2 linked regions of the Saccharomyces cerevisiae S288C genome follow. Changing the gene in region 1 together with any one later gene gives a genetic interaction. Each region holds a gene or a part of one and is shown on either strand. Other genes may lie near its edges. The genes, in order: YFR057W and SDH2.

What was found.
Region 2: mutations in YFR057W (region 1) and SDH2 together harm fitness more than expected from each alone (negative genetic interaction), as found in Saccharomyces cerevisiae (2 studies listed by BioGRID).

What each region holds. Positions count from the first base shown.
Region 1 is NC_001138.5:265,181-270,043, reverse strand, and holds YFR057W (uncharacterized protein), read right to left. Parts: upstream 984-4,863; coding exon 528-983; downstream 1-527. Other genes in the region: cysteine-S-conjugate beta-lyase IRC7, read right to left, coding at 4,818-4,863.
Region 2 is NC_001144.5:50,315-57,783, forward strand, and holds SDH2 (succinate dehydrogenase iron-sulfur protein subunit SDH2), read right to left. Parts: upstream 3,618-7,469; coding exon 2,817-3,617; downstream 1-2,816. Other genes in the region: FPS1 (Fps1p), read left to right, coding at 1-1,633; ATG10 (E2-like conjugating enzyme), read right to left, coding at 1,773-2,276; membrane morphogenesis protein VPS13, read right to left, coding at 3,897-7,469. UniProt on the Saccharomyces cerevisiae protein: Subunit of succinate dehydrogenase (SDH) that is involved in complex II of the mitochondrial electron transport chain and is responsible for transferring electrons from succinate to ubiquinone (coenzyme Q). SDH1 and SDH2 form the catalytic dimer.

The sequences.
Region 1 (4,863 bases):
CATGACCCAGTCCTCATTTCCATCAATAGTAACTGAGTTCGGATCACTACACACGGAAATGGCCTCACTGGTTTTTACCCTTGCCATTTACCTATAATCCTCATGATTATCCATACATTAATGTCTATAGTTGATTATAGATCCTCAATGATCATAAAAATAATTTTTAGTTTACGCGTTATGACAATTTTATGTAGATATCCACCACTTATTTTTATGTAGACTAATATAAAATCCACCTAATAATCACCGTTAAACTCAGCTAAACGTAAAAAAGAACTATTCAGCAATAAGAAAATGTGAGCATACTATATATTAATATAAATGATATATCATAAACATAAGCGTATCCAATTTTGACATATCCTTCACGAATATTGTTAGATAACTCTGAACTGTGCATCCACTCGTTAGGATCACGTTCGAATCCTTAAGTAAAACACATTCCGAACGCTATTCCAGAAAGTAGTCCAGCCGCTTGTTAACTCTCCGACAGTTATATCAAAAAAGGCTAAATATAGGAGGCATTATGGCTTTGTTACGCTTGCACTTGAAAAAGCTGAATTTTTATTTGTCGAATCTTCCAGTAAATTTCTCTTTGAGTGGTTGTAATATTCATATGTATGCTTTGAAAGGCTATTGTCAAAGGAATTTTTTGCGCCTAGTGCAACTAGTGCATATATTAACTCTTCTGAGACGAAGTCGTTGCTAAAATCCTTTTGTAAGAAATGAAATAGAAAGGACTGCCTGTAAATAGAAAGATAATATGAGGTATATTGCCACGCAAAGAAAGGACATATTGAATCATATAGATTATGATTGAGGAATGATCTTGGAAATCGATCAAAAAATAAAAAACTCACAGTTATCTCTAACATAACTTTGATCCTTACTCGTGATATTGGAAGCTTGGCGGTGTCTTTAATGATACCGCTTGACTTGGCCGAGCACTTACTATAGACACTAGTAGGTCCAAATATCATTGAAGATTTATGACCTTTTGTTGCTACTATTTCACATTTGAACTCATCAAACAAGTAGGAATGCGAAAGGATCTGTCCATTTTCCCTCTGCTCATTGTTCCCTTGTAATTCATCAACGATATTACTTATCTCAGCTGAGGTCTCTGGGGATTCCTTTAGCACTTTTAAATAGCATTTTAACTCTCGTATTTTTCTTCCATATGGTGGATCTTTTTAACGGAAAAGCGTTTTATTCTCTGACCTTCATAGGATGTAAGTAGTCTATTTCTTTTTTTTGTACAGTCCAGAAATCGCTCCTTTAAATCATATTTGATCTGAGAGAAGTTAGTGATATGAAATATCAATACATAGTATCTTATTTAGATTACGCATACCTTTTTTTTTCTGCAATTGAGGCAGGATTTATTCCTACATAGTACTGCTTTTTACATTGTATTGTTTTTTTTTGTTTTTCTTTTCTCTGTTGTCGTTAAATGCATGATGATCCCCAATAACTAACCAAAACTTTAAAAGATTTTTTTAGTATCTTTTGGTGTGTTTATTTGCCTGCAATTTGTATACTTTTTTTCTCATCCTAGCTCGGCATGTAGACTTTACATATCTCGACCTGTATGAATTGTCGGTCTTGATAAGACATTCTAAAGAAAACAACACCATACTCGAACTCATGTAATAGTATATATGACTCGAGAAGAAATCAGTACATTTTTTCAGTCGCTTATGCTAAATGTCAGTGATTTTTTAATCAGTTTTTGAATCGACTACTACAGGGTATTGCGCATCCCGATTATTTGATTTCTAGTTACAAATCAACCTGTCAACAAAGAATGAGGAAATTTAAATATATATATATATTTCGGTGTGCGTTTGTGTGGAGATAAATGACTTCCCTTGACAAATTTAAAAGAAATCTCTTTTTAGAAGCATTGTATTGTAATTCCGGGTCAACAAAGTGAATTCATGATAATTTTGGCATTGTAATTTTAGCCATGTAGGGCGTAAAGGTCGAATCTTTAAATTATACCGATATCTTTATCTTGTAATGTTGACGGAAAGAGGGCAGAAAGCCATATGGCTAGGTTAGTTCCAAGAGAAGAGAGCTTCTCACAAAATTCTGCAAAAGCAGTAAGAGGAGAGTTGCTGCTTCATCAAACAAACGTGCGCTGTTTGACTTTCACATGACGACAAGGAGATAAAATATCGCGTGTTATACAGGAATAGCTGCTTTGGCAGGGAGTCAAGCCCGACTCCTAAAGAGTCTCTTCGCGGTATCTTCCTTATTCGAAGACAAGGAATATAGAGCAATGAATCTTCGGTGCTTGGATATGATGTTGTTACTGTTACGATATCTTAAATTCGGGATTAGAATTCTGGATGATAAATGGACCTGTCCTTCAGAATAGCAAAAAAGAGAATCGAGACAACGACAGGAAATACATTGTTTTAAGAACGATAGGAGATTCATGTCTATAAATTGCCTAGATTTTTCCAAGGTACTGCGTAATGTTTCTTCTGTTGGCAGCAGATCGTAAATGACATCGTAGTATAAACCGACAACGCTTGATCTATATGTAAAACCTGACGCAGTTTGATCGAAAAATGATGTTGAAGAATTTAAAAGAGTTGAAAAAGTTATCCGTGAAGTTGATATTGGTATGGATCTGTATGAGTCATCGAAGCTAATCAAGTTGGATAATCATTTTGGTATTAAATTGTACATTAAAGAACAAAGTTCGGGATTCAGCTCGCCTTCATTCAAAATTCTTGGGGCGTCTTGAGGTGTATTTTGCTGTTTGATTGGAAGATTTAGCCTGCCATTACCTAAAACTTCCTTGGATACATTGAAGCAAATTGTCAAATTCCAACACCCGTCTTTGATGCTAGCGGCTGTTACAGATGGTAATGATGGTAGAGCAGTTGCATACATGGCAAAAATCCTAGGCTTAAAGTCTACAATATTTACTCCATGGAATGTTCTAGAACAGAGCGTGAGAACATCAGATCAGAAAAGGGAGCAGAAGTTATCAAAATTAAAGGTAACTATGATTATGCAATAAAAAGTTCTTTAGAGTTTTGTAGTAGCGATCCGACAAAAAAATCAACTTATTCAAGATTTTTCATTCATAGGTTATGATGAAATTCCTAACTGGATTTCTTATGGTTACACTACCTTGTGTAGCGAAATACCATTCGATCCTGCGGTAATATTTGTCCCTTGTGGGGCTGATTCTTTTGCTCAAGGAGTGATAACATATTACAGGTCGCATAAATCGAATACGAAAGTCTTCTCGGTTGAACCAGATACCGCTTACACTGTCAATAAGTCATTGGTGTTACAAAAGGCTTCATCTGATCTAGGAACCTCTAGAACAATCATGGATGAGTTGAACTGTCCGAGGATTTCAGCAACAGCATTTCTTCTACTACAGAAAGGGGCCATCTATTTCCTGTTTAGTTTCCGATGAAGATTGTATGCAAGCAATTAAAACACTAGGCTCGCTAGGAGTAAATTCAAGTCCATGCGGAGCTGTTACGTAAGCCACGTTTATTAGATTCATTGATAAACTGAAAAACATGGGTGAGTTAAAAGTAGGTGGTAAATTTGTGTTGTTGTCTACGGAAGCTATAGGTTATCAAGGAATCTTTAACTATGGGTATTGCTGACGGCTTTGTATCGGGCTTTTGAAAAATACGATATTTCAGAGCCATATGCGCAAAAATATATGTACAACTTCTACTTTGTTGTTTCAAAATTATCCAACTAGTTGTTTTGTAGTTGAAAAAAAACGAGTATTAGCGTTCTTCTTGGCCCTTATCTTATTCTTTATTTTGCCAGCTAAGGTTATTTAAGTTGAAAGATATACATAACGTCATATAAAGTAATCTCTTTTTCAAAATGTTAATTGAAGCGATACACAGACGATGATGAATAAAATCATGTGAGTATAATTTTCCTTATAACCTTTTTTACACGACAAAACCACCGATGATGTTCTGACCTACACTTTCATAATTGCATCCGTTCACCGAGATGCATAGCACCATACGTACTTAGAGTAACCATAGCTATTTACAATAGGTAACAATATACATAGTCTATGGTAGCAGAGTGCGTACGGGCTCTTCGGTTACTGACGTAATCATATTATTTCTTAAACACCAGTGGTTATTTTGCTGCATCTCTATTACGGTATTCTTTTTATTGCTAGCATTTAGCCGCGGAGTGAGATCACATGTCATATTGATATGCCTTTCTCTACTGAATGAAATCGAACTAAAAAATCTGTAGTGTCAAGCTCAAGCCTGGTTCACAAATATTATATTCAGGAACGCAAGTAGATAAAGCAGAATCATTTCCGCTGAATAAGTACGATATACGTTTTTTCTATCTTTATACAATACAAAATTATTACTTTTCTAAATACAATGACTTCATTATGCAGTGTCATTGAAATGCATTCACAATATGGTAAGCCTCTTTATTACAATCAGACATACAGAAAAAAGAAAGATTATCTGCTTCATCATCCATAATATGATACAGCTAGAAAATTGAACCATATATTAACTGGGCAAACATTGGCTACTAGATGGTTGTCTACTCCAGCCTGCCTAAGACAAGCTATAGTCAAAAATTTCATTCATTTCTCAAACAACATTGCTTGGAAATCCAAAAAAAAAAGGAAAAAAAATCAGATTTGTAAAGGATTCAAAGAAATTTCTTCTGCGAGACGTTCAAAGCCTAACTCAAAATCCCTTTTTAAATCTTCAAATTCTTCGAGACCCACTTGTATTCTTAGTGCAAAACCTTTGTAAGGCCATGTTGAAGCTTTTCTAGCCACCCCATGAAAATCCCAATTGCAAAACTTTCATCCCTTCT
Region 2 (7,469 bases), on another chromosome or scaffold:
CCATAAAGATAACGGTCCGCCGAGTGCAAGCAGTAATAGAGCATTCAGGCCTAGAGGGCAGACCACAGTGTCGGCCAACGTGCTTAACATTGAAGATTTTTACAAAAATGCAGACGATGCGCATACCATCCCGGAGTCACATTTATCGAGAAGGAGAAGTAGGTCGAGGGCTACGAGTAATGCTGGGCACAGTGCCAATACAGGCGCCACGAATGGCAGGACTACTGGTGCCCAAACTAATATGGAAAGCAATGAATCACCACGTAACGTCCCCATTATGGTGAAGCCAAAGACATTATACCAGAACCCTCAAACACCTACAGTCTTGCCCTCCACATACCATCCAATTAATAAATGGTCTTCCGTCAAAAACACTTATTTGAAGGAATTTTTAGCCGAGTTTATGGGAACAATGGTTATGATTATTTTCGGTAGTGCTGTTGTTTGTCAGGTCAATGTTGCTGGGAAAATACAGCAGGACAATTTCAACGTGGCTTTGGATAACCTTAACGTTACCGGGTCTTCTGCAGAAACGATAGACGCTATGAAGAGTTTAACATCCTTGGTTTCATCCGTTGCGGGCGGTACCTTTGATGATGTGGCATTGGGCTGGGCTGCTGCCGTGGTGATGGGCTATTTCTGCGCTGGTGGTAGTGCCATCTCAGGTGCTCATTTGAATCCGTCTATTACATTAGCCAATTTGGTGTATAGAGGTTTTCCCCTGAAGAAAGTTCCTTATTACTTTGCTGGACAATTGATCGGTGCCTTCACAGGCGCTTTGATCTTGTTTATTTGGTACAAAAGGGTGTTACAAGAGGCATATAGCGATTGGTGGATGAATGAAAGTGTTGCGGGAATGTTTTGCGTTTTTCCAAAGCCTTATCTAAGTTCAGGACGGCAATTTTTTTCCGAATTTTTATGTGGAGCTATGTTACAAGCAGGAACATTTGCGCTGACCGATCCTTATACGTGTTTGTCCTCTGATGTTTTCCCATTGATGATGTTTATTTTGATTTTCATTATCAATGCTTCCATGGCTTATCAGACAGGTACAGCAATGAATTTGGCTCGTGATCTGGGCCCACGTCTTGCACTATATGCAGTTGGATTTGATCATAAAATGCTTTGGGTGCATCATCATCATTTCTTTTGGGTTCCCATGGTAGGCCCATTTATTGGTGCGTTAATGGGGGGGTTGGTTTACGATGTCTGTATTTATCAGGGTCATGAATCTCCAGTCAACTGGTCTTTACCAGTTTATAAGGAAATGATTATGAGAGCCTGGTTTAGAAGGCCTGGTTGGAAGAAGAGAAATAGAGCAAGAAGAACATCGGACCTGAGTGACTTCTCATACAATAACGATGATGATGAGGAATTTGGAGAAAGAATGGCTCTTCAAAAGACAAAGACCAAGTCATCTATTTCAGACAACGAAAATGAAGCAGGAGAAAAGAAAGTGCAATTTAAATCTGTTCAGCGCGGCAAAAGAACGTTTGGTGGTATACCAACAATTCTTGAAGAAGAAGATTCCATTGAAACTGCTTCGCTAGGTGCGACGACGACTGATTCTATTGGGTTATCCGACACATCATCAGAAGATTCGCATTATGGTAATGCTAAGAAGGTAACATGAGAAAACAGACAAGAAAAAGAAACAAATAATATAGACTGATAGAAAAAAATACTGCTTACTACCGCCGGTATAATATATATATATATATATATTTACATAGATGATTGCATAGTGTTTTAAAAAGCTTTCCTAGGTTAAGCTATGAATCTTCATAACCTAACCAACTAAATATGAAAATACTGACCCATCGTCTTAAGTAAGTTGACATGAACTCAGCCTGGTCACCTACTATACATGATGTATCGCATGGATGGAAAGAATACCAAACGCTACCTTCCAGGTTAATGATAGTATCCAAACCTAGTTGGAATTTGCCTTGAACATCAAGCAGCGATTCGATATCAGTTGGGAGCATCAATTTGGTCATTGGAATACCATCTATGCTTTTCTCCTCCCATATTCGCAAAAGTAGTAAGGGCTCGTTATATACTTTTGAATATGTAAGATATAATTCTATATGATTTAGTAATTTATTTTCTATACGCTCAGTATTTTTCTGCAGTTGTCGAGTAGGTATTAAACGCAAAAGAAGTCCATCCTTTTCATCATTCAAATGGACATCTTGGCAAAGGGCCCAGTTATGGAAAATCTGGGAGTCATACAACGATTGCAGTTGGCTATGCCACTCCTGGTAAGGAATCATCAAGTCTGATAATTCTGTTTTTTAGCCCTTTTTTTTTTTTTTTCATGGTGTTCTCTTCTCATTGCTTTTCAATTTTAAGTTCGTTACCTTTCATATAGAGTTTCTTAACAGAAATTTCACAACGAAAATATAATTAACTACAGGCATGTAAATATAAAAACAGTCCTTTAATAATAAACCTTAAGCATTACGCGTGTATTAATATAATAAATAGTTATAAATTGAATAAATAGGGGAGAGAAGCCAAAAGGCCCTTCAAAAACAAAGATATAAATTCATCCTTAAAAACAACAATACCTGAAGATACTAGAACACCTTGTCGCCTATGATGGACATATATACAGACCGGGTCATAGCATTGCCAATGATAAATAAATAATAGTCATAGAGAGTAAACATAAACGCCTAACGTATAGGAATGTGTGAGAATGGTGAGTTTCGTCCTTGAAAATAATAATAATAATAGTTGGTGCTTTTATTAGTGCCAAAATCATTTGAGAGGCTTCTGAGTTCTTCGGGGCTAGCTGTTTTTCTGATAGTCTAGGCAAATGCCAAAGATTTCTTAATTTCAGCAATAGCCAAACCAGGATTCAAGCCCTTTGGACAAGTTCTAGTACAGTTCATGATGGTGTGACATCTGTACAATGACATGGAGTTGTTTAGCATGGCCTTTCTTGTCTTTGTAGCTTGGTCTCTAGAGTCAATTAGCCAACGGTAGGCTTGCATTAGCACGGCAGGGCCCAAATACTGTTCTTGGTTCCACCAGTACGATGGACATGAAGTAGAGCAGCATGCACACAGAATACATTCGTAAAGACCATCCAGTTTCTTACGATCTTCAATACTTTGTAGCACTTCCGTTCCATCCTTTGGAAACGATGATCTCTGTAAGTAAGGTTGGATAGATTTGTATTGTTGGTAGAAGTTAGTTAAATCAGGTACCAAATCTTTGACAATAAACATGTGGGGTAATGGATAGATCTTGAGTTGTTTGGATTCGTTCTGGTCGATCTTACATATACAAGCTAGCGTGTTTCTACCGCCAATGTTCATGGCACATGAACCGCAGATACCTTCTCTACATGATCTTCTAAAAGTTAGGGTAGAATCCTGTTCGTCTTTGATCTTTAACAGCGCATCAAGTACCATGGGCCCACAGTCATTCAGATCCACTTGATATGACTGTAAATGAGGTTTAGCACTTGGCTCGTCTGGATTCCATCTGTAAACTTTAAAAGTTTTCAATCTGGGGGTATGCGTAGCTGCAGCTGTTGTGGCAGTAGCCATACCCTTCTTCGTCACCAAACAAAAGGCCTTCCTTCTCAATAGCACGTTCAACATCCCTATAAATATGTATACTCCAGTATTTCAAGAAAGTATAGCTCAACTATATTCCTTTCAATCCCTTCCTTTAGCCTAACATTTTTTGGCATTCTCATAGAAAGTCATTAATCCCCTTATATAAGTTTGCCCTTTTTACACCGGAGCTAATTGGGCCAATGCGAGGCCGCCTTTTGCGCGCTGCGGATATTTCTAAGGCATGGTCGTGCGGAGCTACAATAATACGATTGAATTATAGCTACATAGTGTACAAAAGCGGGTATATACTTTCATATGTGATCATAGGATAGCTTCACAGTACTTATTGTATTCTCTAACAGCAATGGCGATGTTCCTGTACAAGGACCGACGTTCTTCAGGATCGCTGATGGGAATGAAGTATTCGGATTGAGACTTGAGTTTAATTTGAAGACCGGATCTTTCCAATGTAATTCCCTGGATGGAAGGATATCCTGTGCTCCACATAAGCTCTTGGGTGGCCATTTGCACCTCAGCAATGTGCTGCATGGACACAATTACTGCTAGTTCTTTGCCTGGCAATATAACGTGCGACAGGTATTCATCATTCATAAATACTCCTCCATTCACGGTCTTGAGCCAGTATTGTCCTTGGGCCTCACGTAGATCATAAGGCTTGATGATTTGATCATGGTCCACGTACCTTGGTAGACGCACTCTGCAACCCTTTTGCATGTCAAGCACAGTGGTGGTACTTTTCACGCCTTGACTTAAGTTACTTGTAAGATCTAAGAATCCAATGGCTGTCTTAGTTGGCAGCCCAACGATACCTTTACCAAGGCCTTTGAGGAAACCAGCGGCGCCTTCCTTTTGCATGGCCTTGTATGGGTCCAGTGCAATTCCGCTCAACCCGCTTCCCAGTGTGCTGGCAAAGGATTGCGCTGAGTTTGCCAAGGCATTCCTGTTGTTTTTATTTATTCTTTGTTGTAATCTCCTGACCCTTTGGAATTCCAGATCTTGTGTAACTGACAGGCCCTTGGCCATCGACCCCGTAAACTTGGACATACTATCAGAGAGGCCAAAGACTGTTTTCTTTGCAAAACTTAGTCCACCTTTAGCCAGATGTATACCAATTTCTTGAGGCCTATCATTCATCATGTAACCTTGATATGGTTCATAGAATAAGTCCCAGACACCGGAACTAATTGTGTTGAAAAGACCTACAGGATTACCAAAACAATCTGCTGATCCTAAAATTTTGTGGATCTGATACACGAACTGGGTCGTATAGTGTCTCTCAATATGGTCCATCAGAATGGGCAATGGGACTCTTACATTATCCATGAACAAAGAATTAACTTTAACCGGCGCCTCATTTATATTACCTAATGTCATAGCAAACATATGGACATAGTACAATGATGACGAAAATGACTCCTCGGTCTCTTCAGCCAATCCTGGACTAATTTCATCGGAGCGTATAAAGGACAGATGTAAGACGGTGGGCTGAATATGGAAGATCTCGAAATATATATCACCCGCCGTTTTTAATTCAGAAACATCAGGTAACTGGATTTCTTCATCGTACTTATAATCTCTTGAATCCATGATCCATGGGGATCCTGGGAATTTTATGAAGTCCATCATAGCATACAGCATGTCTTCATCTAATTGTATGGAAAATTCCTGGATTAATAACGTAACATGTTTAAAGTATGGGACAGCCTGTAAGGAATCGTTGACTTTAGAAATAGAACCTGATATCACTGGATGATTTTCAATTTCCTTTTCTGTGTAGGGGATTTCTGTTGGATATAGAATATTTGAGTAGTTTCCTGAAAATAATTGATTATCTATTTGCATCCATTTCATTTTCCAACTGAAAGTCTGGTATGCTTTAGATTCATTGTATCTTAATTCGATCCCTCTCATGTTAATATATAGAAGTTCCTGTAAACGACCATTGATTAATGAGATACCAACTCCTTTGAACGAAACAACTATCTGTGTATTAACCTTCTCATCCTCATCCTTTTGCACAAAGCCATCAGTCACTGAACTATTTACTGAAACTGAAGACGTGGTAGTTGCAGAGGCAGTTTTCAATTTGTATAACCCAACATTGGCCTTATAGTTAACAATAACTAAGGCCTGCATATCGTCGTCAGCAACAACATGTAATCCAACAATGGGGGCTGGTTTATCCTTTGACCTTTTATCCAGGCGTAACGGTGGCAATTCGCCAATCTCAGCCAACCGAACTTCCCTTGTACGTGTACCTGATTCTAACACCAGATATTTCTCCTTAGCTGTAGGAAAATCCCATGCGTATGGCATAATACTTTTCGAGGGAATCCTGTAAAAGATAGGTTTGAAACTACGGCTTGAGGACTCGTTAGACTGGTCATCCTTGTATGGATCACTAACTTTACGAGGATCTCTTTGGTAAAATATAAAGTCATGGTCGCTGAAATTTCTTATGGAAAATGGCCATCTGTCACCACCGTCCTTGATTCTTATGAATATTGTTGCTTTGTCCAAAAGAATTTCAATCTTTAAAAGCTTATGGCGTGAATTTTTCAAAACTTTCAAATATGTTACACCGACATTTTTGATAAAGAATGGTTGTGACCAATTGGAGTCTCCGCCTAAGAATTTCAGCACTAATTGCTTGTCGACGATGTTTCTCATCCTGTATAAAGGCTTAGTGATGTTCGATTCTATTTGCTGGACATCCATAGACCCTGTCTCGCAAACTTCAATAGGGATATCTAAAGTATTGCTTATAATATACCTAGGTGCAATCTCAATAACTTTACTTAGCAAGTACTTCCCTTTACCTTCGCTAATGTTGATGCCTAAATTTGATTCTTGTTCCTTATTTTTTATGCGAACAGATGCATCAAATGATTGGCCAATAGCGTCAAATGATAATTTGGAACTCCACTCTGATTCCTTGAACCTAATACGAGCTCTGTTACTTTTATCATCTTCTTTATCAAATGAAAACATTTTTGGAATAGTATATCTTTTTTCGTTTTCAAGCAAAATCTTGGATTGTGCAATATTTAAGAGACTACTTTGAATGTAGAGTTCTCTATCGGTAGAGTTCATAATAATATAAGGGGAGTATATCCGAATAACTTTGGACCTTGTACCATCGATGTTTTTATAATCTAGTTTCAACAACAAATTCTGACCTCCAGATAGGGTCAAAGACAACGAATCTTCTGGGTTTAAAGGACTTTTATGTGGTGTATTAACGATGGAGGGCTTTGAAGCAGAAGCCTCATCTTGTAATGGTTGAACAGACATTAGCAGGAAACTATCCAAAGAAATATGATGAACTTCCATACTTTCTCCAGTCTTCAAGAAATCTGTTCTCTTCTCCTCTCTTTTGTCAAAAATAGAGAAGTTAATATCTGCTGGAAGTAAATTTTCAATAGTCATAGATGCCGAAACCACGATTTTCATATGAGGAAAGATCTTTGCCAATGGTTCTCTTTCATCATACTTTGCACCAATTTCGAAATGAAATCTTTGATTGGAATCTTCTTTTGAAGAACAGAATATAGACATTTGGTTGCTCAACAAGCTTTTCCAAGATAACGTCTGTTGAGACCAATCGTATATATCCTCTGATGCGGGTCTTATCCTAATATCAGAATCGTAGGCATATTCTACAGGAACAGATTTACTTTGATGTGGTTTAATAGCATATTTTAAAGATGGCTTATTTGGATCTTTGGAGTCAACCAAAAGCTCAATCTCAGTTGAAGTTGTGTTTTCGATAACTAAAGTTGACCTAAACGTAATAATCTTCACGTTATTCTCATCACATCTGGCCTCACAAACAATTCTATTATGCACATTATTTCTTGGTGGGCTCAAAAC